Linked DNA regions of Diceros bicornis minor. The protein of the gene in region 1 purifies or fractionates together with the protein of each later gene. This does not show direct contact. Links are inferred from orthologs where the notes say so. Each region holds a gene or a part of one and is shown in the gene's direction. Other genes may lie near its edges. The genes, in order: CD2BP2, DHX38, EAPP and DDX23.

What was found.
Region 2: the proteins of CD2BP2 (region 1) and DHX38 purify together in Homo sapiens (affinity purification with mass spectrometry; 3 studies listed by BioGRID and IntAct, counting the BioPlex papers as one, with this or other methods). This does not show direct contact. The link is inferred for Diceros bicornis minor from reciprocal best matches to the Homo sapiens genes CD2BP2 and DHX38.
Region 3: the proteins of CD2BP2 (region 1) and EAPP purify together in Homo sapiens (affinity purification with mass spectrometry; 3 studies listed by BioGRID and IntAct, counting the BioPlex papers as one, with this or other methods). This does not show direct contact. The link is inferred for Diceros bicornis minor from reciprocal best matches to the Homo sapiens genes CD2BP2 and EAPP.
Region 4: the proteins of CD2BP2 (region 1) and DDX23 purify together in Homo sapiens (affinity purification with mass spectrometry; 6 studies listed by BioGRID and IntAct, counting the BioPlex papers as one, with this or other methods). This does not show direct contact. The link is inferred for Diceros bicornis minor from reciprocal best matches to the Homo sapiens genes CD2BP2 and DDX23.

What each region holds. Positions count from the first base shown.
Region 1 is NC_080765.1:21,531,597-21,539,245, forward strand, and holds CD2BP2 (CD2 antigen cytoplasmic tail-binding protein 2), read left to right. Parts: upstream 1-4,625; 5' UTR 4,626-4,917; intron 4,918-5,212; exon of another isoform or gene 5,213-5,363; intron 5,364-5,449; 5' UTR 5,450-5,475; coding exon 5,476-5,553; intron 5,554-5,780; coding exon 5,781-5,916; intron 5,917-6,037; coding exon 6,038-6,195; intron 6,196-6,301; coding exon 6,302-6,737; intron 6,738-6,818; coding exon 6,819-6,925; intron 6,926-7,012; coding exon 7,013-7,123; 3' UTR 7,124-7,261; downstream 7,262-7,649. Other genes in the region: TBC1D10B (TBC1 domain family member 10B), read left to right, coding at 236-350, 475-540, 741-930, 1,264-1,418, 1,507-2,193. UniProt on the Homo sapiens protein: Involved in pre-mRNA splicing as component of the U5 snRNP complex that is involved in spliceosome assembly.
Region 2 is NC_080771.1:23,320,630-23,328,115, reverse strand, and holds the start of DHX38 (pre-mRNA-splicing factor ATP-dependent RNA helicase PRP16), read left to right. Parts: upstream 1-4,486; 5' UTR 4,487-4,759; intron 4,760-4,895; exon of another isoform or gene 4,896-5,051; intron 5,052-6,795; 5' UTR 6,796-6,814; coding exon 6,815-7,137; intron 7,138-7,486. Other genes in the region: TXNL4B (thioredoxin-like protein 4B), read right to left, coding at 1,495-1,626. UniProt on the Homo sapiens protein: Probable ATP-binding RNA helicase. Involved in pre-mRNA splicing as component of the spliceosome.
Region 3 is NC_080744.1:14,753,444-14,761,439, forward strand, and holds the start of EAPP (E2F-associated phosphoprotein), read left to right. Parts: upstream 1-4,981; 5' UTR 4,982-5,072; coding exon 5,073-5,146; intron 5,147-7,996. UniProt on the Homo sapiens protein: May play an important role in the fine-tuning of both major E2F1 activities, the regulation of the cell-cycle and the induction of apoptosis. Promotes S-phase entry, and inhibits p14(ARP) expression.
Region 4 is NC_080756.1:20,755,354-20,762,590, forward strand, and holds the start of DDX23 (probable ATP-dependent RNA helicase DDX23), read left to right. Parts: upstream 1-4,015; 5' UTR 4,016-4,078; intron 4,079-6,981; 5' UTR 6,982-7,011; coding exon 7,012-7,017; exon of another isoform or gene 7,018-7,062; intron 7,063-7,070; exon of another isoform or gene 7,071-7,091; intron 7,092-7,237. Other genes in the region: RND1 (rho-related GTP-binding protein Rho6), read left to right, coding at 1-221. UniProt on the Homo sapiens protein: Involved in pre-mRNA splicing and its phosphorylated form (by SRPK2) is required for spliceosomal B complex formation.

The sequences.
Region 1 (7,649 bases):
GGTGGAAGGCTGGAGCCTGGAATGCTTTGACTATGGTCTGAGTCTTTGGCTTAAGCTCGATAGGCAGAACTAGGAAGGTAGATGGAGGTGTGTGGTGCTAAAGCTCTGAGGTTAATCTGGAACTGGATCTAGGAGGGGTCTTGGCTGGGGCTGGGGGGTAGGGTGCAGGTTTACTTTGGGTCAGAGAGCTCCCAACTCCTGTGATTGCCCTCATGGTCTTTTCCAATACCCACAGGCAACAGGACCTGTATCGAATCCTGAAGGCCTACACCATCTACCGGCCTGACGAGGGCTACTGCCAGGCCCAGGCCCCAGTGGCTGCAGTGCTGCTCATGCACATGCCTGCTGAGGTCAGCATATGCTGGTCCTGGTTGGAGAGGGGCTGGGAGGATCTTGGCCTGCAGTGGTGATGGGGGAGCTCTCTGCTCCATTTCTCAGGCCCCATCCATTCCTCCTTGTTCTTGCCCTTTTCAGCAAGCCTTTTGGTGTCTGGTGCAGATCTGCGACAAGTACCTCCCCGGTTACTACAGTGCAGGGCTGGTAAGTGTCTGGAGTCTGGGTGCAACCGGGGCTGTGACTTTTAACCAAGGCTGCAGGGAGGTCCTTGTCCTGCCCCATCCTGTGTCCTTCTGTCCCTCTCCTCTGGGCCTTTCCCGCTGAGGTGAGGATCCTGTACCAGGGCCATTTCTACCCCAAGGGGGCTACAGCAGGCCTCTTTTCATGGCTCATCCCACTTCCAGGAGGCCATTCAGCTAGACGGAGAAATCTTTTTTGCACTATTGCGCCGGGCCTCCCCTCTGGCACATCGGCACCTGCGGCGGCAGCGCATTGACCCCGTGCTCTACATGACAGAATGGTTCATGTGCATCTTCGCCCGCACCCTGCCCTGGGCTTCAGTGCTGCGTGTCTGGGATATGTTCTTCTGTGAAGGTACTTCTGTAGCCATTCAGGCCATGAGGGGGCTAGAGTTTCCATGGTGGCTGCCAGAGGGTGGCCCACTAACACTGTTGGGCCTTGGCTTCACTGTAAGCCAGCTGGGGGCTGGAGAAACTGAGGCTTCGTCTTGGCTCTGCCACCAACCCAGAGCCTGCTCTCCCTCAGGACCCTGAAACCCATGGCAGCTCATTTCCCTTCTTGGGGCCTCAGTTTCCTCATCTGTAAGGTTGGCAGTAGACAGGGATGGGGGCTATCAGTCCCTTCTATGTGGGACGGGCTGGGATCCCACGCCTGATCACATATGCTCTCTTCTTTCTGACCCTGCAGGCGTCAAGATCATCTTCCGGGTGGCCCTGGTGCTGCTGCGGCACACACTGGGCTCGGTGGAGAAGCTGCGCTCCTGCCAAGGCATGTATGAAACCATGGAGCAGCTGCGCAACCTGCCCCAACAGTGCATGCAGGAGGACTTCCTGGTGCATGAGGTAGGTCTTGGCCTTAGCAAACCCCACACCTGCTTCAGCCCATCCCCACCCTCGTCTTCATTCTGGTACTCATTTCTTCTCGGTCTAGGTGACCAACCTCCCGGTGACAGAGGCACTGATTGAGCGAGAGAACGCAGCCCAGCTCAAGAAGTGGCGGGAGACCCGGGGGGAGCTGCAGTATCGACCTTCACGGCGACTGCATGGCTCCCGGGCCATCCACGAGGAGCGCCGGAGGCAGCAGCCACCCCTCGGCCCCTCATCCAGCCTCCTCAGCCTCCCTGGCCTCAAGAGCCGTGGCTCCCGGGCAACTGGAGGGCCCCCCTCCCCACCTCCTCCTGCCCGCAGGGCCAGTGCTGGGCCTGCCCCAGGGCCTGTGGTCACTGCTGAGGGACTGCATCCCTCCCTTCCTTCGCCTACTGGCAACAGCACCCCACTGGGTCCCAGCAAGGAGACCCGGAGGCAGGAGAAGGAGCGGCAGAAACAGGAAAAGGAACGTGAGAAGGAGCGGCAGAAACAGGAGAAAGAGCGGGAGAAGCAGGAGAAGGAGCGGCAGAAGTGGGAAAAAGAGCAGGAGAAGGAGCAGCAGAAGCAGGAGAAGGAGCGGCAGAAGCAGGAGAAGGAGCAGCAGAAGCAGGAGAAGGAGCGGCAGAAGCAGGAGAAGAAGGCCCAAGGCAGGAAGCTTTCGCTGCGTCGAAAGGCAGATGGTCCCCCCGCTCCCCAGGATGGTGGGGACAGGTCCTCGGCATCTGAGGCCCGGCAGGATGCTTACTTTTGACCTCTGCCCTGGGGCTGGACTGCATGGCCCCCCTCTTTTTCCCTCAGCCAAGAGCAGGCCAGTTGTCCCTCTTTCTGAGGAAAGTGGCTTGATTCCCCATCCCCTTGCTAGCTGCTGATCCCTGCACAGCCAGGACAGTTGGAGTGCACGGGGCAGCTGCATTTCCCTGGGGCAGCCGTGAGCAAGTCTGGGGCCCCTCACCTCCAGTTAGGCCCAGCTGGGGTCTCTGTCACTCCTGCCCCAATTCCCTCTGGGGTCCCTTCCCAGGTGCTGTCCTGATCGGCCTTTTGTCACCACAGGGTGACTCTTGGCAATGGGAGTCAGCAGTTTTCAGATTCTTACACTCCAGTTGCTCCCCTTACCCGTGAAGTGGAGCTGGGTTCCTTTCTCCCTTCTTCAGTCCTGCCTGTCGCCCCCACTTCCTGGCTGGGGGCCGAGGCTCTCCTCACTCTACTTCTGGACATCTCTGTGTTGTAATTATGTACAGAGGACCTGGTTGGCCCAGGGTGGGGGTGCTTGCTCTATCTTCTGTCCTTGAGTTCTCCTGCACTCTGGTTTATTTAAGGGGACATGCACTGGAACAGGAAATGTCCCCCACTTCCTACCCACCGCCGTCCTTGCTCTCCTTTCTCTTCACCCACCCTCCTCTGTATTCTCAGGCCTCCCCTGCTTTGTCTCACCAGGACCCCCATCTTTCACCTTATTCCCTTCCAATCGTCCAGCCTCTTATCTGGGTAAGGGGTCTTCCCTTGAGCTCCAGGGGGTAGAATCCAATGTTTACATTCTCTTCTGTCTCTGCTCCCACCCAGTGTGGCGCTTTGAGGAACCAGAAAAGAACCTGCTGTTGTACCTGGGCCTGTCTCCTGCTTTGTTATTTGATGGAGGGGTTTAGAATAAGGACTAGGGAGGGACAGAGCAAGCCAGAATCTGGGTGTCTATTGAAGCAGTTGGCTGGTCTTTGCAGGTGGGTACCTCTTGGCCTTTGATCCATCTCTCAGTCACTCATCAACAAACAGTGGTTGAGCTCCTGCTCCACCTTTGCCTGGGATCTGCTGCCTTCATTGTCACTGGCCTCCTGGAGTCCTCTATGCACTACCTGCAGTGCCCAGATCTCCTTCCAGAAGCGCTCATGCAACTCCTGGAAGCTGGAGGGGGAACTGAGGGTAGCTAGAAAGCCACAGTCCTCTAGGGGTGAGCTGGGCTCTTGGCCAGCAGCCTGGCACAGCTCCTGGTACTGGGCCTCCCGTGTGGGTAGCAGCACAGACAGCCACCTCCAGCTCACTCCAGCCAGCGCCCACAGCCAGGCTCCCAGTTCCTTCTCGTTTTCTGCTGCCAGCTTGTAGGCCCGCCCACCTTCTGTGTCCTCTACCCTGGGAGTCAGCATGGTGAAGTCATAGGATTCTGTGGCTCCACTTGGCAGTTCTCCAACAGGATGAGGCCCAGAGGTGTGCGGTCTGCCTGGTGCTCCAGGTAAAAGAGGTTTCCCCGGAGGATGAACCAGCGGCCCTGGTAGCTGGTATTTTGGGCCCCCCTCTTTAGCAAGATGCTCTTGATCTGGAGCCTGTGCTCTGTACCCACGGAAGAAACTGAGCACAGACTTTTGGTGCAGTTTCATGGTAGTCCAATCTGGGAGGAAACCCTGGGAGCAGGAGAGAGGAGTGGAGGGTCTGTCGCGTTACCCTGGGGACCCCATGCTGCCTTCCTTTGGCTCCAGTGGGCTCTTCCTGGGCACAGCTTTAGCCTAGTGGGATTCAGACTCTGAGTATCCTCAAGAGCTGGAGGTATTGTCCCCAGAGCACTGGGATCCGCTTCTCCCACCTCCCAACCCCAGCTCTGCCCCTTGTGCCAGATAACCTGGGCAGGGGATGCAGGGCTGGGGCCCTGTTTGCTAAGCAGGGGGATTTACTCTGCGGCTTTGGTGCAAGAGAAAGAGGCACTGCTGCCCTTTTCCAGGCCTACCTGAGGTCAGGGCACAAGGGGCTTCTGGCCTGGGTACTGGGCACAGGTGTCACTGCCACCTATCCTGTGATGGCTCTTCCCATCAGAACCAGGAATTCGCCCAGGGGGTAGGTGCGGGGTAAATGACTTCCCCTGGGTCCTAAAGGGAGCTGGTTTCAGCAAGTGCCCCAAGGGCCGTCAGAGGCTTCCAGCCGGGCATCAGGAAAGCCGGGCTTCCCCTTAGGGAGAACAGCAAGGCTGCACTTGGGACTAGGACAGGGTAGACAACGACGCTGAGAGCGGGAAGACAGGATTTCTGATGAGATGGTGAGGGGCGTAGAGACCTTGGCCAGCGCTGGGGGAAACTAGAGCAGTAACCCACTGGCCCTGCTGGGACTTTGCCCTTCCATCGTGACCCGGGGCGCCACTTTAAGTAGAGTGCGTCCCACTTTCACTCCAGAGCCTCTACTGCTGTACTAGGGAATGGAAGCTACTTCCGGCCATTCCTCTCGTCCGATGAGGGTTTAGGCGTTCATACGTCTCCTCTTCTCGCCTCCGTCGCCCCACACGGTTCACGTCACTTCCGGGAGGGAGGTGTCTCCGCCCCCCGCTCATTCCGTACTTCCGCCCGCTCTTCCAGTTAGTCCTCTAACCCGAGTGAAGCCACTTCCGGCTTTCCCTGGCGACTTCCGCAGTTCTCTTCCGGGCGATGTCGGCGGGTGCCCCGGATGTAGCCCTGGTGAAGGCATCTATCCTTTTCTTCCCCCGCCTACCCTGGATCCTTAGGTGAGCGCGCACTGGTGAAACTGTTCGAAACCCCGTGGCTCTGCCGGCTCCCTTATTTGTACACACAGGCCGGGACAGCTGGGAGTCACCCCGCGGAGTTGGGAGTTCGGCATGGGGAGGGGCGGGGCGACCAGGGTGCCAGGTCTTGCGTCCGCCGGGGCCTCGTGGGCTCTGGGGGAGCTGGAGGTGGAGAAGCGGGTGTCAGCCCGCGGAGCCCCGTCGCGCCCAGGGCTGCGGGGGCCGGGAATGAGGGCGTTCACTTAGGGGAGCCTGTCTCTTTTCGTCAAGGGTGGGGGCGTCCATAGGGAGCTTCTGCGCGCGTCCACTTCTCCGTCCCCGCCCCAGCAACTCTTTCTGATGCCAAACCAACTCCTGGGGGCCGCCTCGCTGCCAACTCCCCTTTCGGCCCCCGATTCTGTGCTCCCTCCCCTCTCAAACTGGATCTAGTACGTATATTCGTTGTGCTGGGGGCCCTCTCGCTGTGAGTATCCTTGCCCAGTTCCCTTAATCTGCACCGTTTCCCTCGGCTCAGCTTGGGGACCGCCCCTCTGTCCAGTCATGCCAAAGAGGAAAGTGACCTTCCAAGGCGTCGGAGATGAGGATGATGAAGATGAAATCGGTGTCCCTAAGAAGAAGGTGAGGGGCACAGACTCCTGCGTTCTGGGGAGGAGGTAGGGGAGAAAAAAGAAACGAAGTCAGAAGAGGAAAAACCTGGAGGAACAAAGAAAGGGTAGAAAAAGCTAGCTTTTCGATGTTCTCTGGGAAATGGGCTTGGAGGATTATCATTTTGAGTTCAGATGCTAGAGTATCTTGAGGAATAGCCAGTAACCTGCATCTCTCGACTCGCTGGCTCTTGCTCACAGCTGGTGGACCCTGTGGCTGGGGCAGGGGGTCCTGGGAGCCGCTTCAAAGGCAAACACTCTTTGGACAGTGATGAGGAGGATGATGATGATGAGGGATCCAGCAAATATGACATCCTGGCCTCAGAGGATGTGGAAGGTGAGCTATACCCAAGAGTTGACTTTCTGCTGTAGGAACAAATAGGGGTTTGGGGCGATGTGTGGCAGGGGGCTCCTCTTTTTCGCATGCCTAGCATGAGACACTTGTGTCTTTGGTGCAGGTCAAGAAGCAGCCACACTACCCAGTGAGGGAGGTGTGCGGATTACACCCTTCAACCTGCAGGAGGAGATGGAGGAAGGCCACTTTGATGCTGATGGCAACTACTTCCTGAACCGGGATGCTCAGATCCGAGATAGCTGGCTGGACAACATTGACTGGGTGTGGCCCAGGGACTGGCATGGCTGGGGCCTGGAGGCAGCAAGTGCTGGGCTTCGGCCCTGCTGGCAGCTTTCAGCAAATAACCCTTACTATTTTCATATTACAGGTGAAGATCAGGGAGCGGCCACCTGATCAGCGCCCACTGTCAGACTCGGAGGAAGAGGACAGCCTGGGCCAGACACCAATGAGTGCCCAAGCCCTCCTAGAGGGCCTTTTGGAGCTGCTGTTGCCAAGGGAGACAGTGGCTGGGGCACTGAGGCGTCTAGGGGCCCGAGGAGGAAGCAAAGGGGGCAGCAAGGGGCCTGGGCGGCCCAGTTCCCCCCAGCGCCTGGACCGGCTCTCTGGGTTGGCTGACCAGATGGTGGCCCGGGGCAACCTTGGCGTATATCAGGAAACAAGGGAACGGTTGGCCATGCGGCTGAAGGGATTGGGGTGCCAGACCCAGGGACCTCCTGACCCCACACCCCCACCCTCTCTGGACATGTTTGCTGAGGAAGTGGCAGAGGAAGAGCTGGAGACCCCAACTGCTGCCCAGAGAGGAGGTGAGATTGAAGGGCAGAGGAAGGGTGTTGTGGGCAGGGGCAGAGCACTTGAGGCCCAACTGGCTTTGCCTGTTATTTTAGAAGCAGAGTCGCCTGGCGACGGTCTGGTGGATGTGATGTGGGAGTATAAGTGGGAGAACACAGGGGATGCTGAGCTGTACGGGCCCTTCACCAGCACCCAGATGCAGGTAAACCCCTTTCTACTTCGTTCTGCTGCTTCTCTCCCTCCTCCTACCCCATCAGTTCGTTCCCAGCTCTACTCTCTCTTCTTGCAGACCTGGGTGAATGAAGGCTACTTCCCGGATGGTGTTTATTGCCGGAAGCTGGACCCCCCAGGTGGACAGTTCTACAACTCCAAACGTATTGACTTTGATCTCTACACTTGAGCCTGCTGAGGGCCCAGTTTGGTGGCCCCTTCTTTCCTGGACTCTGAGGAGGATGCCCCAGCTGCCCCAGGCAGTGAGGATATTGGGGGCCACTTTTCAGTTAATTTTCCTTTCCTAATAAAAGTCTTTAGTTGTGTATTAGGGCCTTCGCTGTGCTGATGGCCAAAAGCCAGGACCTTCTCCACAGCCCCTCGCCTCTGTCCTTGAGTGTGTCCTCATGAAGTTCTTTCTTGGGAGTTTCTCTTCCTTTGAACCACTTCGCCGTTGTTTACCACTCCTATGGGCAGAGCCAGGGCTATCAGGTGGCCTGTGGCCTCTCCACCTGGACTCTGCTCACCATCGAAAAATCCTTCAACTTGCACAATGTTGTCCGATATCCTCTGGGGGTTTCTGTTTTGCTGTTCTTAGGGCTTTGGTTTTTAGTACTTCACAGTCTCTTTCCTTGCAGCCAGTACAGGATAGAGCCCCAGAAGTGGAGATTTTAGGCCAGGAAGGGCTGCGACATATGTTGGGGGTAAGCAGGAAG
Region 2 (7,486 bases), on another chromosome or scaffold:
TCCATGCCAATCATCCTCTATTTTTTAGTATGTGGGCCAGCAAAACAACACGGCTGCTAACAGAGTGGTGTAGGTCCACGCCCGGGAAGGGAACCCAGGCTGCTGGAGCAGAGCACGCCGAACTAGGCCCCTGGGGCTGGCCCTGACTGTAAAGTTTTTATAAACTTTTTATGGATTTATCAAATCCATGCTCACTTAAACAAAAACACAAAACAATTCAGAAGTATGTACTAGACACTGAAATTCCCCCAAGTCTCTTTCCTTCCAACCCCCCCATAAATGATAATTATAATAGCAAACACCTACATGGCACTTAAGATGTGCTAACTGTCCTAAGTGCTTTACACTTGTTAACTCCTTTAATCCTTACAACATTTCTTTTTTTTTTTTTTTAAATATTTTATTTATTTATTTTTCCCCTCCAAAGCCCCAGTAGATTGTTGTAGGTCATAGCTGCACATCCTTCTAGTTGCTGTATGTGGGACGCGGCCTCAGCATGGCCGGAGAAGCGGTGCGTCGGTGGGTGCCTGGGATCCGAACCCGGGCCGCCAGCAGCGGAGCGCGCGCACTTAACCGTTAAGTCACGGGGCCGGCCCTTACAACATTTCTATGAGGTATACACTATTACAGTTCCCATGTCACAGGTGAGGAGACCGAGGCACAGGGAGGTAATCTGCCCCTTGTCACACAGCTAGTTAGTATTAAGGCTGGGATTTGAACTCAGGCAGCTTCAGAGTTTATACCTTTGACCCCTAGTGATAGTCCCTCTCTGCTACAGCTGAGGGTGTAATCCTCTGGCCCTTCCCCCCAGGTAACGCATCACACACTCATTTTCAATCACAGTAATGAGGATTCTTAAAATTGATCCACATAGTGGGTGTCAGTAATAAAAATGGTGGAAGAGGTCTTAGTCCAGGGTAAGTCTCTCTCCATAATAAACAGAGACAAGAATAAACCTACTCTGTCCCATACTCCCCACCAACTCATCAGAGTGTGAAGATGTGCTGTGAAAACACAGATTATCATCAGGCATACACTGGAGGCAGCACACTAGAAAAGCATATTTGCAGGCAGAGGAAGCGAAGCTCAAATCCCAGCTCTGCCATGTAGTGGTTCTGTGCCTGTGGGAAGTCACTGATCTCCCCGGCATTCACCTGCTCCTCTGGGAACAGTAATAGTAATTATCTAACTGTTGTGAGCAATAAGATGATGTTCACAGATGCTTGTTATTAACGTTTTCTGCTCTTCGCTGCCTTGTTGGTGATGCTGAGCTTCGACTGCTGTTAGTGGGGAAGCACATCCAGGACAGGCTCAGCACAATCCCAGTTTAGGGGTGCAGCTCAGGGCAGACACACGATCAACTCTTAAAGTGTGCTAATGAATGAAGGGCTACATCCCTGGGCCCTGCCTGCTCCCTTTCATGCACTTTGCAGATGTTGAAGTGAGAATGTATAGATTTTTAATGAAAACCATTTCTTGTAAAAATTCACTTACAATATCATCTAGCTGCAGACAGACAGGATCCTCGTCTCTCCCAAACCTGAGGACCAGCACCTTCTCTGCAGTACTTTTTATCACCTGGTCTACTTCTTTTTTGCTAGTCAGCTTGGGCAACAGGAAGCTCATCTTGAAATAATCCAAATATTAATCCTCACTGTTAGTCCTAAAATCAAGTCGTAATGTTTAAAGACAGTTAGACTTAGTGCATGAGTCCTAGTTAAACAAATTAAAAAGCTTTGGAATAGGTAATATATTCAGATGGTTTAAAAAGAAACAATATAGAAAGACCTACTGTGAAAAAATCCCTTCCTCCGGCCCAGTTCTCAGTGCCCCATTCCCCCCGACACCAGGTAACTACTTTCATTAGTTTCTCATGTATCTTCCAGAGTTTTGTTATGCATTCACAAGAAAAGACAAATATGCATTCCTATGGTTTCTCCCTTTTTTACCCAAAAGATAGCCTATTGTATCAGTCAGTTTTCCAGCAGGAGAGAGATGACATCCTCAAATTTGGTAATTTGAAGAGACTTTCATTAAGGCAGGGTGTAGGAAACAACAGGTACAGTGCTGTACTCTGGGGCTAGTCACAGTAGGGCGCTGTTCCCACATGAGGCCTGAGGGAGCCACGGGAGGGAGGAGTTAGCAGAACTGTGTGGGAGGACTGCTGAATGGAGAAGGCCGCTGTAGAGGAGGCCAGCCTGCAGTTAAAGGACGCAGCCACTCTCCTCCCTCCCTCTGATCTGCTAATGCTCCCACTGGCTGCCTCCCTCTGGAATCAGAGGGCAGGGGAGCTGCAGAAGCAGGCAAGCCTCCTGTCCCACAGCAGTCTAGAGAAGGAGGAAGAGTGGATCTGGAGGAGCAAACGACAGATGTCCTGCACATACAATTTACCCACTCCTCTGCGCTTTACACCTTTTTACCTAACATAAGAAGATCTTCCCCTATCGCTACACAGAAAACTTCACATTCTTTGTCACAGCAGCATTCTATCTCATGTATGGACCATACTTTTCAAACAGTCCTTTACTGACGAACATTTGTATTACCATGAGTCCTGGCTTAAAGATTCTTGGTGCATATCTTACTAGGTGCACCTATCTTACCACATGGCAAACACCGATTAAGTGTGTGTGAAAACCACATAAAAATAAACAAATCGTAAAATACTGAGATAGAAGGGGCCTAATCTAACTCCCTCAATTTACATACTTGTTTGTTTATAGTTACACTCTTAGCTAAAGAACTAGGACTAGAATCCAGGCCACCAGATTTCTACTTCAGCATTCTTTCTACTACAATAAGCTCCTATTTTTATGACTGAGAAACTCTTTGATCAAGGAGCTTTATTTTTGAGTCCATCCATGAGAGACTCCATCGAGATACTTGATATTTTGAATTCATTTCCAAAGTTGGCTAAAGCTAATAAAAGGGAGGATTTCTTTCTGTATTTTTTTTTGTGACAAGTCACATTTTAAGATATGAATTAATAAAAATTCACATAGGAAATGAAATAGTTCCAGTAACAGGTCATACTTTACAAAGGGAAGTTGATTGCCAGATGGGACTTCATCAAATGTGAGTGGCAGAATAAATTACTGATGAGAGGGAAAGTCGAAGAAAAGATGGCTCTGTCCCACCACTAGAATTCAAACTAACAGCAACTCCCCTATGTTACTGATGAAGAGGAGGAAGTGAGGGGAGGACAAAGCTTCAATAGGAGGGGAACCTGGGGGTTGGAGAGGTGTGGGGTGGGACTGGATAAATGTTGGAAAGAGGAGAGAGAAACTGAGACCATACCTAAGAAAATGTCCATAGCGAAGGATAACAACAGCGAATTCACAAAAGAAGAGGTACAAATGGACAAATATATTTGGAAAGTTAAGATTTACTACTAAGCAAAGGAAAGCAAGTTAAATGATATATTTAAAAAAGCCATTAAATTGGCAAAGATTAAACAATGATGGCAGGAGTGTGAGTGAAGGGGCAGGCATTCATAGTCTCTGCTGGAATGTAGAGGAGCAAAACTTCTCTAGAAAGAAAACTGAAATACTCTTTGGCTAACAATGCCATTTCTGAGAATTCCTTCTTAGTAAGTAATCAGACGTGTGCACAAAGATTTAAATAAAGGACATCCATCACATTTATAACGGTGAAAAACCGGAAACAACCTAAATGGCCATCAATAGGGGACTGGTAAAATAAATGACAGTGCAGTCCTGCCATGTACTATTATAGAGTCGTTAAATATTGTGTTAGAGATGAACACTGCAGATACTGAAGTTCTCCATGAAGAAAAATGTTATAAAATAGTATATGAAGATCCCCTTTTGTACAAAACCTAACTATAACGCATCTGTACATGTTAACATAGAAAAATAACTGGAAATGAATATCCCAACACACCATCAGTGGTAATCTCTGCGTGTGAACAGACGAGTGATTTTTATTTACATTGGGGTGCGCGTCTTTACTTCTCCAAAATACCCGACGTATATGTTTTTAACGATGCCTGTGATTAGGCTATTCCTGGCCCACAACTGCCAGGGAAGATGATACTCACTTTACTTGTACAAGTCACTTCCCTCTTTTCCACTTCAGGGCTGTCGGCACCTCCGACCCTTCTCCAAAAAGCCGGGACGCGGGCGGCTCCTTTCTTCCGTCCCAACCGCCGCAGCGACCCTACTCCAAAGTACCCCCAGGGGCTGATGCCTAGCAACCCTCAGCGGCCCACTTGAGGGGACGGAAACGGAAAGAGAAAACGCACAGCCGCAGTAGACGGACGCGAAACAGTCCCCACTCAAGCGCTCAACAACAAGAACAGACTGTTCTAGTCACCGCCTCCTCCCCCGGCTCTAACCGGAAGCCTTAGAGTCACTTCCGCCCTTATTAAACATGACCGACCTCTCTGCCTCTCCTTCCCCCTTCTCCGACTAGAGGCGGGCCTTCGCCTCTTAGACTAAGCGTGATTGGTCGCAAGGAGACTCGGAAGTGTCTCTGATCAGAGCCCCACAGGAGGGCACTCTAGCCTTGAGAGCGTGGTCGCGTTGTGTCCCACACAGGGAGCCCGGAACTGGCGTTTTCCGGGCTGCTCTCGATGGTACCCTTGGACAGATAGAGGGGACCGCGCAGCGTTTCATGGGACAATAATGGCGGCTTTCGAGGTTGAGGTTTTGGCTCTTTAAGGCGGTCTGAGCCAGGAGTGGCGGCACCGGCGCCCCAGAATCCGGGACAGAAGGTCCCGAGAGTCGGGCTTGGTGAGGTGAGTGTCCCTTCTTCCTTCCTGACGTGCCCTTCGCCAATCATGGCGGCTCCAGGCGGCGGATATCAGTCCCTCGCTCAGGTTCTGGCCTGGGTTTGGCAAGTCTTGTCCCTGTCACCCAACTTGCCTCACTCACCCTAAGGATGCTGCGCCAGTCCGTCGTGCCCCGGCCTTTCTCCTTGCTCTGGTCAGATCCTGCTGCCTGGGGCGGCCTCACTGGGGTCCAGGGATGCTGCCCGGGGTCCACCCTTCCTCAGGTCTCGGCATTAGCTCCCTCCCAGACGGACGCCGAGCCCAAGTAGGGCTCCTTGTGTCTTCCTCTTCCGTCACAGTGTATCTCTACCAGGCCATGTCTTCTACGAGAATATCAACTCCAAGAGGGCGGGGCATTTGTCTGTCTGTTCTCTGCTCCATCCTATTGCCCAGAACAGCGATTGACTCACAGAACGCACTCAATGAATAATTGTTGGATGAGTAAATCCAGTTTCTTTCTTCATCGTTTTTCTCCTATCCCTTGTGGCTTCTTTGCCATTAATCCTTCTCCGGAATCTAGCCCTTAACTCCTTATTTGTTCTGCTCAGCAGCGAGTTAAGTCTGTCAGACTCCTTGTCCTGTGCTGCTGGTATCTTCCCTTGCTGTCTGTAGAAATGTTTGGCCTCTCATCTCTTATAATCAGTTTAAACTCATTTATTCATTTATTCATCAGACTTTTATTTTGCTAGGTACTGGGCATAGCAGTCAACAAGACAAGGTTCTCTCTCCTGCATAGAATGACGTTCTAGGGATATATTTTCTAGTTCAGACTACTGGTGAGCAGAGTCTGTATATCTTACCTTCCTATTTAGATATCCTCACATGCGGACAGATGTTACCAATATGCAGCTTCCTTTTCTATTCTGCCTGATGGCATTTTTCAAAATTCATCTCTTGTTTCTGTCCATGTTATGAGTCTGGTCTGTTTGGCAATATTCTTCTATAGAGCTGTGCATGTTAATTAGAGCTGGGCAACACCTTCTGGATTCTGGTGGTACCCTACCCCTTGACAGTTCCTTTGCTTCACTGACTTGTTGGAATGAGGAGAATTATCCAAGCACTCAGAATTGAGTATGTTTATAAACGGATGGTGTGTAGCGGGAGGTAAAGAGGAATTTGGTACAAGTTGAATGCGAGGAAATCTTGCAGTCACCTTGATACTTTTTAGAAACATTGTTTCCCAGCCTAGTGCTTCTCATCAGTATTTGTGGTGAACATGGATTGTTATTAAACAGATTTTGACTGCTGTGAGGTTTTTCTTTTCTACAAAACACAACTAATGTATGGATCACATGGATAGTAGCCTTGTACCCCACTATCTCTACTTTGCTGTATCTGTAGTTTAAAGGGAGGGACAAGTAGAAGAACTCATGTAAAAAAATGATAAGAGACTCATTCGGTATATAGGAGCACAGCAAATAATGTAACAGTTCCGTTTGTGTAGTTTTTATGGTTACAGAGAGCATTCAGATGCACTTCCTTGTTTGATTCTCACAACAACTTCATGGATTAGATAAAGCAAAAATTATTTCCATTTTACAGATATAGAAATTATGCCTAACCACAGATTAAGTTATTTTTACAATCATACAGGTAGAAAATGTCAAGAGCCTGGATTCTAATTATGGTTTCTGACTACAAATCTTTTGGTATTTCCCCTATACTCCCTTTATAGATGCCACCAGGCTTTAGTAAGTGTCCCTTAGTGAGGTCTGTTCTTGCCTGGATGATATCCTCTTGGATCCTGGTGTTTGGCTTGCGTGTGTGGGCTGTGTGTGTGTGTATCTATTTCTGATGTGTCTTGGGGTGGTGGTAAGAGGATCTTTTGAGATTGTCAATGACTTGATGGCAAGGTCTTGGCAAGAGATAGCTAAAGTAATCCTGGCCTTGAGATGGAGGTTAACTCCCTAAATATACCTATAACTACAATTATCCTTGGATATAGCCGAGCCAAACTTTCTCTCCACTTATGTCTAATACCAAGTGATTTGTCTTCCTTCCAGAGAAATCTCAGAGCCTGTCATGGAGGACACCAGTGAGGATGCCTCGATCCATCGATTGGAAGGCACTGATCTGGACTCTCAGGTTGGCGGTCTTATTTGCAAGACCAAAAGTGCAGCCAGTGAGCAACATGTCTTCAAGGCCCCTGCTCCTCGCCCTTCATTGCTGGGACTGGACTTATTGGCTTCCTTGAAACGAAGGGAGCGAGAGGAGAAGGATGATGGGGAGGACAAGAAGAAGTCCAGAATCTCTTCCTACAAGGACTGGGAAGAGAGCAAGGATGACCAGAGGGACGCTGAGGAGGAGGGCAGTGATCAGGCTGGCCTAAGTAGCCGAAAAGACAGGTAAAGGCCTTAGGGTGGATTGACCCAAAGGGAATGAACATGGAGGCCTGAAAATAACATCCCATGTTTCTCTCTCAGTTTCTTGTTGGACATTTAGAGCTTTATGATTTTATTATGATTTTTTAATATTGAGGCTAGATAGGAAGTGGTATTTTCTTCAGATTTATGGGAAACATTCAAAGGCAACTGAGGAGTAGATGATGGGATTAGAAATGCTTTGCGTTGTCATGTGTAAGTCTGTAGTACCAGGGAGATAAGTGGAAAAGGACAGGTCACTTGTTTGGCGCAGCGAAAGGTTTGGGGCAAGGTTATTTTTCCTATGGAGGGGCTCTTGACCAGCTGCCCTCCC
Region 3 (7,996 bases), on another chromosome or scaffold:
CACTCTCAGTCGAAGGAAGGCCACCTCAGTGTGGCTTGCTGTGCCTCTGTGGAACTTGCGCTGGGTGGGTGAGCGGTCTTGGGTGGTGGGCACACACCAGTTGGGATGTGAAACGTCTGCAAAATACGTGGAGCCAGGGCAAGGAGTCCAACCCGGACATCAGTGTTCTCTGCCCCTCCCCTTCCACTCCAGCGCCTCTCCAGGAAGTCCACAGAACCTGGACCCGTTTCGGGAAGCAGCCGCCTCTGCCAAAGGACTTCAGGTCGGTGGGCAGAGGAGAGGAGCCACGGCCTCGAAGGCTTGGTATCTGTCGGCCTGATCACGTCCTGGGCTGTCCTGGACGTGGTCTCTCCACCTGATCCAATAGCCTTTCTCCAGTCACTTCTCAGTGAGCCTAGGTCATTGCGGGCAGGAGGGTGGAGGAACACATCAGCACCCGGGGAGGAGAGGCTCTCGGGCCGGGAAAATACAAGCCGAGCCTGGAACATGGAGCTGAGCCAAAAAGAAAAGAAATGTGCAGTGAGTGATGCGGTCACGGCAAGCGCAAAACAGTCAGTTTGAAAGAGCTCCCGCGGGCGAAATCAAGGTACTGATAGTAATGGATTATATACTCCATCGAATAAAATAAAACTACGATTAGTTTCACTTGTACTAAATGTTAACGAAACAGAAAGACGGCAGCGCTCTCCGCAACATGTGTTCACTAAGCGCTGTAAGCATAGCAGATTACCCGTAACTAAGTGAGCGATCGCATAAGTTGCCGGGTCTTACGTTTGCACACCACAACCCTCATGAGAGAGCGCGAACGCAATTCCCTGCTACCACAAGTTATGCAGTCGAGTTACCCACATTCGGAGAAATTGCACAAGTCAGCACATCCACAGCGCAATAAATAAACCTCGTCCTGGAAAACCACCTTCGTGATCATGGTATCTCCCCTGCCAGATAAGTATAAGTCCCCCCCGCACGCTGCACCCCGCACCCCGCACCCTCGCATGCGCCCCGCTCCATACGCACGGTCACTTCCCTCGCGCCCCCCGCCGCACTCGCCCCCTCCAGGCCCGGTGCTCCCACCACGCCCACCCGGACCACGACCCTGGCGGCGTTCGGATCTCCACACGCAGGACGCCGCGGCCCGGCCAAGCGGGACCAGCAGCCTCTGCGCGCACGGTCATCTGCATACGCCACGCCCCTGTCGTGACGTCCGCTGCGTCCCGTCTCCCGCTCGGGGATACGGGACCTACGAATCCCCACCGGAGACCCGACGAGTCCGGGACCTGGAGGGGACGCCCGGGAAGACCGGATCTCGCGGCGCCGGCGCCCGGCAGCTGAGGGCCCCCTGGGGGCGGGTCAGGGCTCGGGTCTGGTCTCGCCTTCCTTTCAGCAAAAAGGAAGTTTCAGCGCATTTTGTCCTTGCCCGGCCGACCGAACTCATTCTCCCTGGACACGATTATTATGAGGGCAGCCCCCCCCCATTAAACATCTAAGTACTGATATTTCCCCAAGCAACTCCACAGGGATCGTTTTCCCATGGCGCCATCCTCAGTAAGCCTGTCATAAACTACATCACATGAACTGCCTCAACATACACAACAACTAAACCTAGGGAAATCTAAAGGAAAAAAAAGTCAAGGTTCTAAGCTTGAAGAAAGAAAACCAGGGCAAAGTACAAATTTCATCCACTGTGCAAATTGTGCAGTGGTGGAGTTAAGTATATAATACTAGTAAATAGAAAAGTATTTTATTTTATTTATTTTTTTTGAGGAAGATCAGCCCTGAGCTAACATCCATGCTAATCTTCCTCTTTTTGCTGAGGAAGACCTGCTCTGAGCTAACATCTATTGCCAATCCTCCTCCTCTTTTTCCCCAAAGCCCCAGTAGATAGTTGTATGTCATAGTTGCATCCTTCTAGTTGCGGCCACAGCATGGCCGGAGAAGCGGTGCGTCAGTGAGCGCCCGGGATCCGAACCCAGGCTGCCAGTAGCAGAGCGGGAGCACTTAACCGCCAAGCTACGGGGCCAGCCCCTAGAAAAGTATTTTAAAACACTTAAAAAATTTGTAAATATACTGTTATGTTTTACAGTAAGTTCATGATATCTGAAATATTCCATTTAATCTGTTCATGTCTCCTTTTGTTTTTAGATAGTGAGGCCAACACAATTTTTTAGACAGTAAACACAACTTTTCTATCTCTGCTACTCTGCCCATTGAGGGGTGGAGTCTGTCTCCTCCCCTGGAATCTGGACTTAGTGACTAGCTTGACCAATAGAATGTGGCAGAAGTGATGTTCAGAGAATTCTGAGGCTAGGTCAGAAGAAGCCTTGTAGCTTCCATCTGGGTCTCTGGGAACCCTCTCCGCCAGACTTGAGCTGCTATCTAAGAAGGCTGACTACTCTGGGGCTGCCATATTGTACGGAAGCCCAAGGCTTTGTGGAGAAGGATGCATGAAAAGAGAGATGCTCAGTGAGTCCCCAGCAGTTTCAGTCCTAAACTGAGACCCCAGAGTAATCCCTGCCAAAACTGCAGATTTGTGATGAAATTAGATGATTGTTTTTGTTTCAAAGCTCTTAAATTTTGGGGTGGTGTTTTTGTGCAGCAATAGAGAAATGGAACAGGAAGAAAGAAATAAGCAAACAAGTAACATGAATCAGAAGGGGAAAAATGTGGATTAAAGGATAGAGAAGATGGGATGGAGAGAAGGGGTTGGGGTTGCGGGCTTAAAGTTTTTGATAAGGGGGTCAGGGAAAGCTCTCTGCTTCTCTCTGTTACACACTTGTGCTTTTCTTTGCTTGCTCATCATCAACACATATAACCCCTAAACAGCCATCCTAAAATGGCAGCCTCAGCTCCTGAGTTTACTTGTCCTGTTACAAGTCCTAGGACCACAGCCAACTCTTTAGAATCTGTAACTCTTACTTTTAAGTTTATGGGAGTAAGTAGGTAAGTAATGGCCCAACTTTCATGGAGCAGAATGATTATGGATATAAGGGCATATCCCTGAGGAGGGCCACAATTCCCAGAAAAGGAAAAATGGATTCCCCAACAGGTGTCCCCTTCACATCACTGTGACTCATGGAAGAGTACTGTACCTCTCAAAAGAGTTGGGTGGAACAATAGTTGAAAACCAGAGAAACACATGGCACGTGTGAGTGGTACCTTATCCTACAAGAGTTCAAAGCAGAGAAAGATCCCATGTAGAGAGAGAATCTGAAAAGGCATCATAGAAAAGGTACAGTGTGAGTTCCCAGAACTATGGCATCTCATGGCTGAAAGGTATCCTAAAGGGTCATTCTATATATTTATTGACCCATCCATTGCTTGCAGAAGGATCTTGAGGTAGGGTTTGGATGGTGGAATTAGAAGTAGGAGAGGGTGGGGGGGCTGGCCAGGTGGCATAGTGGTTGGGTTTGCACACTCCGCTTTGGCGGCCCAGGGTCCACAGATTCGGATCCCGGGTGCAGACCTATGCACCACTTATCAAGCCATGCTGTGGTAGGCGTCCCACATATAAAGTAGAGGAAGATGGGCACGGTTGTTAGCCCAGGGCCAATCTTCCTCAGCAAAAAGAGGAGGATTGGCAACAGATGTTAGCTCGGGGCTAATCTTCCTCACCAAAAAAAAAAAAAAAAGTAGCAGAGAGTGCTTCAGGGAATAGCATAAGCAAAAGCCTAGTGGTGGAAGGCATAACGCATATTCTCGAATCAGCAAATTGTGCTGGATATCTGTAGGGATGGCATGATGCATTGAACTATATTGTGGAGGGCCAAGAATATTGCAGAATAAGGCGAACAGATCAGCCAGCGAAGGTGAAATATTGGGACATTTTAGGAAGGAAGTCATCCAGAGCAAAAGCTGTGCTGGAAGAGCGTTACTCTGCCAGTAGAGAGTAGCATGGATTGCAGAGGGAACAAAAGCAAAGTAAGGCTGTCAGTTAGGAGCCTGTATCAATAGTCAAAGTGAGGGGTGGGGAGATGGGAGGTGGGTGAGAGAGGTATTGCTAAGAGATCTACAGGACTTGGGAATTGAGGGCTCATGGAGGGACAGAGAAGGAGTCAACCAAGATTCCAAGACTTTCAGCCTATGGCAGTTGTAAGGATGGAGGAAGTGACATACGCAGAAATCAGAAGTCAAAAGTAGTTATTGGCTGAGATATAGGAACGGGGTGGAAGATGGTGAGTGTGGTCTGGGCTACGTTGACTTTGAATTGCCGGTGGTGCAGCAGGCGGAGTTACCTAGCCAGGCGATTGGAAATCCAACCTGGTACCGGAGGAGAAGGCAAGGACCACATAAGACGGGGCAGTCACCTGATTGGGATCATGCAGAGGGAAGAATTGTCCGGAAGGAGGCAGGAACTTGAGTGTAGGCCAATACAGAAACAGGGGAGGAAACGGTCTCACAATCGGGAAGCTGTCATCGGCTTCACCTCGAGTATCGAGTGGAATCGGATAAAGGCTGAGCAAAGGTTGGGACTGAGGAGAGGCCAAGAAAATGCAATTAGGAAGTAACTGGTGGCAACCTAGCAACTTTCCGGTAGACAGTTGGGGCTGAAGTCAGACTGAGGAGAACAGGGTGAGCCCGAGGCAGCCGCGCAGTGACAAAAAAAGAAAAGCTTGAGGCGAGGAGGTTGGAGGGACATCGGGTGCTAGTGTCTGGGGACCCACTGGCCCGGACTTCAGGCTGCATGTCTCTCAGCATCTAGATTTCTGCTTCTTCACGTCACGGCGGGAGACAATGCACTTGGAGCGTTCATCTCAGAGACTGCCATTTACGAAGGTGCCAATTACTATTTCCGGTAATAGGGTAGCCGTTTCCAGGTGAGCAGAAGCCTCGGAGGGCAGTGTCGAGACACGGGGACCCGCCCCCTCTCCCCGCCCCCTCGTTGGGACGATCTGCGCAGGCGCGCAGGGAGGGCGCGGAAGTGCGGGCGGAAGTGAAGTGCGGTCGGAAGTGAAGTGCGGTCGGAAGTGAAGTGCGGTCGGAGGTGGAGTCCGGAACGCTTTAGGGAAGGGACCTGCGGCGTAAACAGATGCTTTGCCGACGCCTGTAGACCGTGTCGGAGGGCGCAGGCCATCATGAACCGGCTCCAAGATGACTATGACCCCTACGCAATTGAAGAGCCTAGCGACGAGGAGCCGGCTTTGAGCAGGTGGGCCCCTGCCCCGTTCTTGCCCCGAGGCTTCGGGCCGAGGCCAGGCCTTAGTCTCCTCCCCTCCCTGCGCCTGCCGCGCTCGTGTGGACCCTCGGCCCGGCGGTTGTCGCGCCCCGCTGTCCCCTGTGGGACGCCGAGGGGGCTTCTGGTGAGGTCGCGCAGCCACGGGGGAGGCGGGGCTGACACCCGCTTGGGGAAGAGGGATATTCTGGAATTCTGCGTTTGTCTTCAAAAGCCGTGAGATCGAATCCTGCCTCTGCAGCTTACTAGCAGTGTGACTGAAGGCAAGTCAGTTATCCTCGATTTCTCATCTGTAAAGAGGAAATATAATAACTATATCGGAAGTATGTTGTGAGGTTACGGGACTTAATGTGAAGTGACCATCTTGAAGACTAAACTGCCGTAAACAGAAATAAGGGACTATTTAACAGACGTTTTCTGAGCACCTGTTAAATGCTTGCTCTGGGCTACAGAGGTCAGTCCTAAGATATTTGTCTTTTACAGGTTTCCAGTACAGTAGGGGAAATAAGGTATATGTTTCGGAAATAAGCATGTATCTCAGAAGAGTGTTGTAGAAAACTATGACCTGAGATAGGCACAGATGAAGTTCCATGGGAATTTCCAGAAGGGAGGGATTAATCCTACCTGGGGGAAACTTGGGATTATGTTGGCAAGAAATTTGCAGGCAAATTAAGCCATTTTTTAAGTTGTCAGCAGATTCTATTCATAAACTTTAAAATATTCTATCCGACTAAGCTTTCTGTGAAACTGTCCTTCCTTTAGCCACAATGTTTCCTCATACTATCCTGGGGAGGGTTGTAGGCATGAGAGAGCAAACTGCTGTGGAGATTTCTGTGGTGGGAAGTGAGGATGGGTTCCAGGATACCCTGTGAAAAAGCGTTTCAGTTAATGAGTCCCGTCTGTAAAGGAGGTATATGTAGGCCTCTTGGAATATAGCCGTGTTTCCTGGACTTGAGTTATTCCCCCACTTACCATCTCCATAGTCACCCGGGTTATTATTTATTTAATATTTTTCTTTAAATCAGTTTACATTTTTGTAGTTAAGTTTCTTTGAGGAAGCTTTATAATCCTGTGACGGTTGTCACTGGTAAGGTAACTATAAAAATAAATGCTGTGAGGGCTGGCTGGGGGGTGCAGCGGTTAAGTTCACGCATTCTGCTTCGGCGTCCTAGGGTTTCCTGGCTTGGATCCTGGGAGTGGACCTACTCACTGCTCATCAAGCCTTGCTGAGGCAGCGTCCCACATAGAAGAACTAGAAGGACCTATAACTAGAATATACAGTTATGTACTGGGGGCTTTGGGGAGGGAAAAAAAGAAGAAAAGAGGAAGATGGGCAACAGATGTTAGCTCAGGGCCACTCTTTCTCAAAAGAAGAAAAAAGAAAAGAAAAGCTGTTAAAAAAAGACTACGAAAACAAAACTGTTATTAATGTTGCCTGCTCAAGGCTCTAAATCAAATGCTTGTTGTTTTGAAAAGGGAGATTGGTGTTAGAGAGATGTTTAAGAGATGTCGGTCAGCATTTGATTTTACCCTACTTATAAGCTAATATTTTATAGCCTGTTACTGTTTCATGGAAGCTGGCAGAAGACATGAGACTCGTGGGTCAGAGACAACTCACAGCACAGCAAGCAGCATGAGCATCATGTTTGTGTTGCTCGCTGTTAGTTCCCAAGTCTTACAGGGGTTACCCGGAGAGGCCCAGATGGATGCTACACATTCAGTGGGTTGGCATCGAGGCTCAGGACCACTTGAGCTTGGAGAATCCACCTCTTTTACAGCAGGCAGTAAATAAGCCTGCTCTCTGTCTTGGAAAGAGACATTGCCTCATCCCTCAAGGTTGTTCACTGCAAACGCAGGCCTGGGTGAAGAGTGATCAGAACCTTGCATTCTTGGCATACTCAACAGGAATGTGCAGGGCCCGTGATGTATTGCTTCGCCCAGCGGTGCTAAGTGCTGAGATTTCTGTTGAAATAATCACAAGGATTGAAGAAAATTTGAGAAAAGTATAACTCTCTTGCCATGTGATTCAATTTTTTTTTAGTTAAACTTTTTATTTTGAGGTGGGTTCACATGCAGTTGTAAGAAATAATGCAGAGATTCTCTGTTCCCTTTACCCAGTTTCCCCCAGTGTTAACATACTGCAGAAGTACAGTACATATCACAGCTGGGATACTGACATTGATACAGTCAAGACACAGAACATCTCCATCACCATAAGGGTTCCTCATATTACCATTGTCCGCCCCTGTGCCCTCCTTAACCTCTGGTAACCACTAATCTATTCTCCATTTCTACAATTTTGTCATTTTCAAGAATATTATATAAATAGAATCATACAGTATATAACCTTGTGGGATTGGCTTTTTTCACTCGGCATAATTCTCTGGAGATTCATCCACATTGTTGAAGGTATCAATAGTTCATTCCTTTTTTATTGCTGAACAGTATTCTGTATTTGTTTAACCATTCATTCATTGAAGGACATCTGGTTGTTTCCAATTTTGACTATTGTGAATAAAGCTGCTATAAACATTCATGTATAGGTTTTTGTGTGAATTTAAGTTTTCATTTCTCTGGGATAAATGCCCAGGTGTGTGATTGCTGTGTTGTGTGGTAGTTGCCTGTTTCGTTTTATAAGAAACTGCCAAGCTGTTTTCCATAGTGGCTGTACCATTTTATATTCCCACTAGCAATGGCTTCATTGTTACTTAGTGGGCTGTCTGCCTGCCACTCCTTAAAATAATCTACATTCCACACTTTGGAACACTAGCATATTGGCTAAATCAATAAACTGGATAAATCTCAACCTTGGCAGCATTGACCTCT
Region 4 (7,237 bases), on another chromosome or scaffold:
GTGCAGAAATCTACCTGGAAGGCTCAGCTTTCACCTCAGAAAAGAGTATCCACAGCATCTTCCGGACAGCATCCATGGTGTGTCTGAACAAGCCCAGCCCAGTGCCCCCGAAGAGCCCCGTCCGAAGCCTCTCCAAGCGACTGCTCCACCTCCCCAGTCGTTCCGAACTCATCTCTTCTACCTTCAAGAAGGAAAAGGCCAAAAGCTGTTCCATTATGTGAAATGGGGGTTGGAGAGGGGAGACAACCTCCCACTTCCTCCCTTGGGTTGCAAAGGCACGGGGAGAGGGAGGATGAGACAATTTAGGACACTGGACACGAGTTTTTCAGACGGCCACGGTGAGGGCTTGGAAGGAGACAGGAATGGGACAAGGAAAGAGCCAGGCCCAGCTTGAGGACCTGACACTGAGAAAGAACCATCACACCCCAAGCCAGGCACTAGGTGGTAGAGGGGGCAGCTGCTCCAGTGGCCCCCACTCCAGAGGAAGGAAAGGTGTGAGGGTATGGGGCATGCTGGCCTCATGGGCTCGGGGTCCTACAGGAGCCTCACCTTCAGTATCATGCCTCTTCCACACAGCGTTTCCATGCAGGCCAGGGGATGGGAGGGGTCCCTGAGCCCTTCTCTTCCCCCCTGAGGAGGCCGCAGAGGAGTGGACAGTGGGGAAGCCAAGAGGCAGCTCCCTTGGGAGCTGAGCCCAGGTGCTTCATAACTGGAATCAGAAGGGCAGGAGCTGGGCAGAGCCAATGAGAAGGAAACCTCATCTTTGCATAGCCCATGCCTCACGGAGAGGTGACATCATACATTCACATGCTTCTCACCTAAGTCCCCAGGGTCCAAGGGAGAAGCCCCAGACCGCCTTCTCTCGCAGTGTGGGGGTGGTGGTGCTGCAGGGGGCAGGACTGGGTGGGGGTCACCAGACTCTTTCTGCCCTTAGGGCAGTACAGCTGGCATTTGTTTTATAGACTCTTGTCTTCGGAATCGGGGGGCGGGGGGAGTGTTTCAATCTGTTATATGTTCTGTGTTTAAAGAAGAAAACTTATTTATTAATGAAAAATATAACATATATAAAGAAGCTGGCTCTGTTTTCTTAGTTTCTTGTTGCCTTTGGTCTTTGATAAGGAGGAAAAAGCTGTCCTGGAGTCCTGTCTGTAGGGCTGCCTCCACTGTTCCCTAGCACCTCCGACAAGGATCTCCTCCCTGTCCCCCCACCCCTGCCTCATCCCCAACCCCACCCAAGTCCTACTAAGCCAAAGAGGATCTCCTTAGCCCTAGAGCAGAGTTTTCAACCTTGGAACTAATGACATTTTGGGTTAGATAATGCTTTCTTGTGGGAGCTGTCTTGTCCTTTGGAGGATGTCTAGCAGCATCCCTGGCCTCTACGTACTAGATGTCAGTAGCACCCGCCAGTTGTCACAACCAAGAATGTCTCCAGATATTGCTAAATGTCCCCTGGGGCAAAATCACTCCTGGTTGAGAGAGTCTAGAGAGAAACAAGGTTTGGTGACATCATCGGTAGGGGATCCGCGCTGCTGAGATCCCAACCCCTGCCAAGTGTGGACACAGTGAAGCCAACATTGTGGGGAGGTTCCTGGGGTTCTGGTCTCCTCTGAGTTCATGTCTTCTGCTTTCTTGACCTTCCAATTCAGTTGCCTGTTGATGGCAGCTCAGGGGACTTAACATCCCTTCTCTTCAGTGACTTATAGCTCTTTTTTCCAAGTTTCATAGTGTGCTAAAAATAAAAGGCTACTATGTCTTGAGTACTTACTATGTGCTCAGCACTGTGCTGAGAGCTTTACCTACATTATCACATTTAACCTCATATAAATGATAATAGCTAACATTGTTAAATGTTTACTATGGGTCAGGGTGGCTATGAGTTCTTCATATGTTATTTATTCCTGTGATAACCCTATGGGGTACTACCTACCTCATTTTACAGACAAGGAAACTGAGGTTCAGAGAGATTAGTTAATGTGTCCAAGGTCACACAGCCAGAAACTGATAGAACCTGGATACAGATCAAGGCAACCTGGCTCCAGAACGTGCACTTTTCACTGCTCTGCTATCCTATCCTGTGAGGCAAGTGGCATTATTATCCCTATTCTATAAAGGAAAGGAAATAGAAAAGCCAGAGAGGCCATATAACTCGCATGAGATCATTCTGCTAGTAAGTAATGGAGTCAGGATTCCAACTGGTTCTCAATGTTAAGTATAATCCCATAGGCCCCTTCTTGCCAGCCCTGTTGTACCTAAATAGGAGATTCTACCTATGGTCCTTACTAGAACGTAGTCCCCCTGTCTCCATCTCCAAAGATGCATGTTTGTGAAAGAACTATCAGGGTAATACAAACAACAATGAGTATCCTTTAAGCTCAGTGTCTTACACATGTCATGAGAAAGATGTGCACAAGTACTGGGGGAACTCTGCCACTATGAACTTGGACAAGCTTCATCGCCTTTCTAGGTCTCAATGTACTTATGTTTAAAGACGGTTTAGAATGGCAGCCTGGAAATAGGGAAGGAACATGGTCTCTGGGTTTAAAAGAAACTGGAGTGGAATCCTGGCTCTCCTCTTTATGGCACTTTGAAGTCATAATTAATCTTTCTGGGCCACAATCTCCATATCAGTAAAGTAGAGATAATACTTAGCTCATACTGTTATGAGAACTAAGTAAAGTAAGATAAGTGTCCAGCACAGAGTTGGACACTTAGAAGATTCTCAGTAAATAGTAGCTGCCGCTCTTAAACATTCCAGTCCGAGTGTTACTTGGAGTTCCACTCTGTGAGTGGAGAGCCCTCCAGTGTTCACTGGGTGAATTACACCTAGTAGATCTCAGACATCCTTTTCCTTCAGTTCTCTCTGGAGTAGAAGTGGGGAGGCCAGAGGCTGCAGAGTTCTAAGAGCAGAAGTGTGCCTCTCCCAGGGTTACTATGGGACATTGTGCGTGATGCTCAGGGCTTTAGGATTATTTGAGTCTATCCTGAGGCGCTGCTTGAGGAGAATTGAAGGCATATTTAGAAAAAATAGCCAGACCTACAGCCATGTGGGATTAAAACCAAAAAGCTGATGCTGGGAAAATGAGAAGGAAGGAGGCATTCGATACTTCCTAGTATCTATCTAAACCATCCTAAAAATTGCAAGGTTTGGGGGGTTCTTTGGGTTTTTTGGGGGGGAGGGGAGAATTATGAACCATAAGACCAAAAAGAAACAAAGTGAACATACAATTTGGGGCAAAAAAGGCTCAGTGGAGGACTGAGGAGGGGGGACTAGGAGGAAGAAAGAAGGCAAAATATGAAGATAGCCTAACAACTGGCCACATTGCAAAGGGCAAGAAAATGAGGAAGCCAGGGGTTCTATCTGGAAGGCTGAGAAAAATAGGTGCTACAGCCCAGGCGACACCATCCTTCGGGGAGGTCTTTGAAGGAATCCATCGTGTGCGCTCATTTTGAGCTGTTACAGTAACTGGGGGTTGTTACTGCGGGGCCAGGGTTGCTAAAATGTGCTCCTAAACTTGGGATAGTCCCGCACAATGAATTGTCCCACTCTCACTGTGAAATACTAGGCTACTCCTGTATCATAACCTTTAGTTTGTCACCTGTAAAATGTGGCTAATAATCTATCTCACAGATTTTTTTTGTAAAAACGCTTTTCCACACACGGTATTTGTTGGTGTTACTGCAGTTGCTAGTACTATTGATATCTAAGGTAGCCCTTAAATTCTTCCGTTATAAGCCACAGGCCGTGATAGTCCTTAACTGCAGTTTCCAGGAAGACTACACGGTGACAGAACCTTTTTAGGGCAGCCGACCCACGGAAAACTCTTCCTCCCGCTGACTCAAATATTTGGCGAACCACATTGCCCAGCAGACCCCGCGGCTCGGCCCGGCGCTCGCGCCGTGCATTCTGGGATTGGTAGTTCTCTGGCCTCAGTTGTCAACCTGCGCCGCCCCAGACCAGGAACTCGCCTTCCCAGCTTGCCGCGCGCCCGGGGGGTGCGTCTCGGCGACCAGGAAACGGGAAAAATGGCGACTGCTCGGCGACGTTGAGGCCGCGTTGGGCGGTTCAGACTCAAGAGTGGTGAGTCCCGGGCGGTGGATGCGGTTCCCACGAGCTTGCAGAGAGGGCGAGAGTGGGGGCACTGCGGTGGCCCCTGCCTCCGGGACGAGGCGGAGAAGAACGCCTTAGGGAAGGGGCACGAGCTCGGAAAGCTCTGGCGAGCAGGAGCGAAGGCGCGCGGGCCCCAGAAGGGAGTGTTGGCTCCTGGGGGCACAGGCCAAGTCCCAGGACGATGTTACGGGCCAGACCTTTGCCCATGGGCACAGCACCCGTGATACCCCCAGTATGACCTTCCTTCCTGTTTCAAGTAGCCCTTGCTCCAGCCAAACTGGAACTCTGGCTTTTCTCCCAGAACCAGTCATGCTTTCCCGCCTCTCTGCCTCCTATATTATTTCTTTTGCCGGGAATGACTCCTTTTCTGCACCCTCAATTACACGTCTTCAAATTCTACCTATACTTAAACGCTCAAGAGCCACTTCCTCTGCACCTCTTTCCAAATCCCGTTTCACAAATGAAAGGAAACTTCTTTTTTGAACTCCTGTAATAACTTAATCTGAGCCTTCATTTTGGTATGTGTCTCATACCTTCTATTGTTCTGTAAGCTTCCTGTGGACAAAATCTTCCTGATTTCCTTTTGTAACTCACACGGCGCCTAGCACGGTTCCTTGCATATAGTGGATGCTTGATAAATACTTCGTTGAATGAAAAAAAGAACTTGCTCTCGCCCTACAAGAACTGAGGAACTCAAAGTTCTGGAAATTTGCAAGGAAGACTGCTGGGAAGCAATGGTCAGAGTGGGCCATTGTGATAGGTAGAATCTATAATAAAAGTTGTCTATTTTTACTGTTTTCTTATTCTCACCTCTTATTGTCTTCTAAAGTCACTCCACTCAGGCTTCTACTCCCTCCATGCCATGGAAACAGCTCTTGTCAAGGTCACCAACCATCTCCATTTTTCCAAATGCAAGGGTCACTCCTCCATCTCCTAGTCTTTCTCCACTTGACACAGTTAACAACTCCCTCCTTGGAATATGTGTTTGGTTTCTGGGATGCCATACTTTACTTTTTTTCCTCCTTTCTCACTGGCTGTTGCTTCTTTCCTGTCTTTTTTCCTGGTTCCTCCTGTGCCTGACCTCTAAATGTTACAGTGTTCCAGAGGTCAATCCTGGGTCCTCTTCTCTTCTATTTTTTTCTTTAACTATACTACCTACTTAGGTAATATCATTTAGTGTCTCATGGCTTTAAAAGCCATCTATATATTGATGACTGAAATTTTTGTCTCCAGGTACTCTCTCCTGAGTTCCAAAATTGCATTTTCAGCTGCCTTCCTGAAATCTCCACTTGGCTTTCTTACTGACATCTTACACACAACATGGCCAAAATGAAACTTTTGATTTCCTCCTAAACCTGTTCCTTCCCCAATCTTCTCCGGTCACTAATGGTACCATGAACCATTAGGTTGGTCAAACCATAAATTTGGGAGCTAACTTTGTGTCCTGTCTTTCCCTTTCTCTTTTCATTGCTAAGTCCTGTCAGCTCTGCCTCCGAAGTATACCCTGAAGCTGTCTACTTCTTTCCATCTCCGTTGCCACTTTCCTAGAACAAGCCCCTGGCATCTCTTGCCTAGACTACTATAATAGCATTCTCAGTGGTTCTGTTTCCACACTTGCCTCCCTGCTGTAAATTTTCTCCCAAGTCACCAAAGTAATTCTTTAAAAATGTAAAATTAGATCACATCACTTCCTGTTTAACACCCTTCTAAGGTTCCCATTGCAGTTAGATAAAAATCCAAGTTCCTTTACCCTGGCTCAAAACACATTTCCATGATCTGATTCCTGTTTACCTCCCTGAACTCATCTTGAATCAATCAGTCTTCCTCCCTGGGGCAGTGCCACTCAGCCACACAAGTCTGTTTTTAATTGGCAAACATACTAAGCTAGTTGCTGCCCCAGTGCCTTAGTACTTGCTGTCCCTTCTACCCATTAAGTTCTTTTCCCTGATCTTTGGAGGCTGTCTTTCCCATCATTCAAATCTCAGCTTACATGTCATCTAAGAAATTCTTTACTGAGCCCTCTATCTCTTGTTCATACCCCTCCCTTTTATATCACCCTGTTTTATTCTCTGCATTAGCGTTATTACTATTTGAAATTTTCTTATCTTTCTGCCTGTTATCTGCTTCACTGGAATTTAAGCTTTATGAGATCAGGGAATTTGTTTTGTTTACTGCTATATCTCTAGTATGTAGAACAGTTTCTGGCACCTACCAGGTGCTCAATGAATATTTGTTGAAAGAATGAATGATGTCCAGGATGCTTTATAGAGAAGATAGCCTTTCTTCTGGCTTGTTTTCTTAGGGCTATAAGTGGAAGAGACATAAGTATAACTTCCATGTGTTATGCATAACATACTGATAACAAAACATTCAGTAATTTCTCAGGCAGTTGTGAGATAAAATGGGTTGTATCCACCTTTTGAAAGTGTTAATTGTTCATTTTTCTTTTCTTTATACATTCTCCCTTCTTAAAGATATATGGCAGGAAATTACATGGGAAAGGGGGATTGTAAGCTAAGGCTTAGGGAACAGATATTCCAGCTGAACCATTTGGGGATAAAATAAGTTCTGAGAAATGTATCAGTCTTCGGGATGATGATGATGGTGGGGGTCGGGGGAGTAGTAGAGGCAGATTCAGACTTGCTGTCCTTGTAGCTCCTAGCTGAAGTAGATTTTTGTAGTCTGAAGGACAGGTGACAGTGTGGCATGGTGTTCAGTGTCCCAGGCAGGAGGGGAACAGAACAAATTCCTGCTCAGACCTTTCATGGGACTTGGTAATGATCAAGGCTGTGAAGATCTGAGCAGGGAATGTCAGTCAGAGTGTCTGTGACCTCTAGTTTTTGCTTCCTTCCTTCCTCTCCCTTCCTTTATAGATTCACAGGAAGTTGCAGAAAAAGAAGTGCATGGAGGTCCTGTGTACCATTCACCAAGTTTTTCCCGTTGCATAACTAGAAGTACATTTTTTAACATCTGAGTAGTAAAAGTGACTTTGTTTCTCCATTTAAATTTAGCTTTTCCTTAGGGTGCTGATTATAATCCCAAATCTCAAAGTTAAACTTTTTTTTCCTCTTTTGAGCTTTCTTTATGAGCTCAGGAGAACTTACCTTTCTTAGATGTATGTGTTGACTG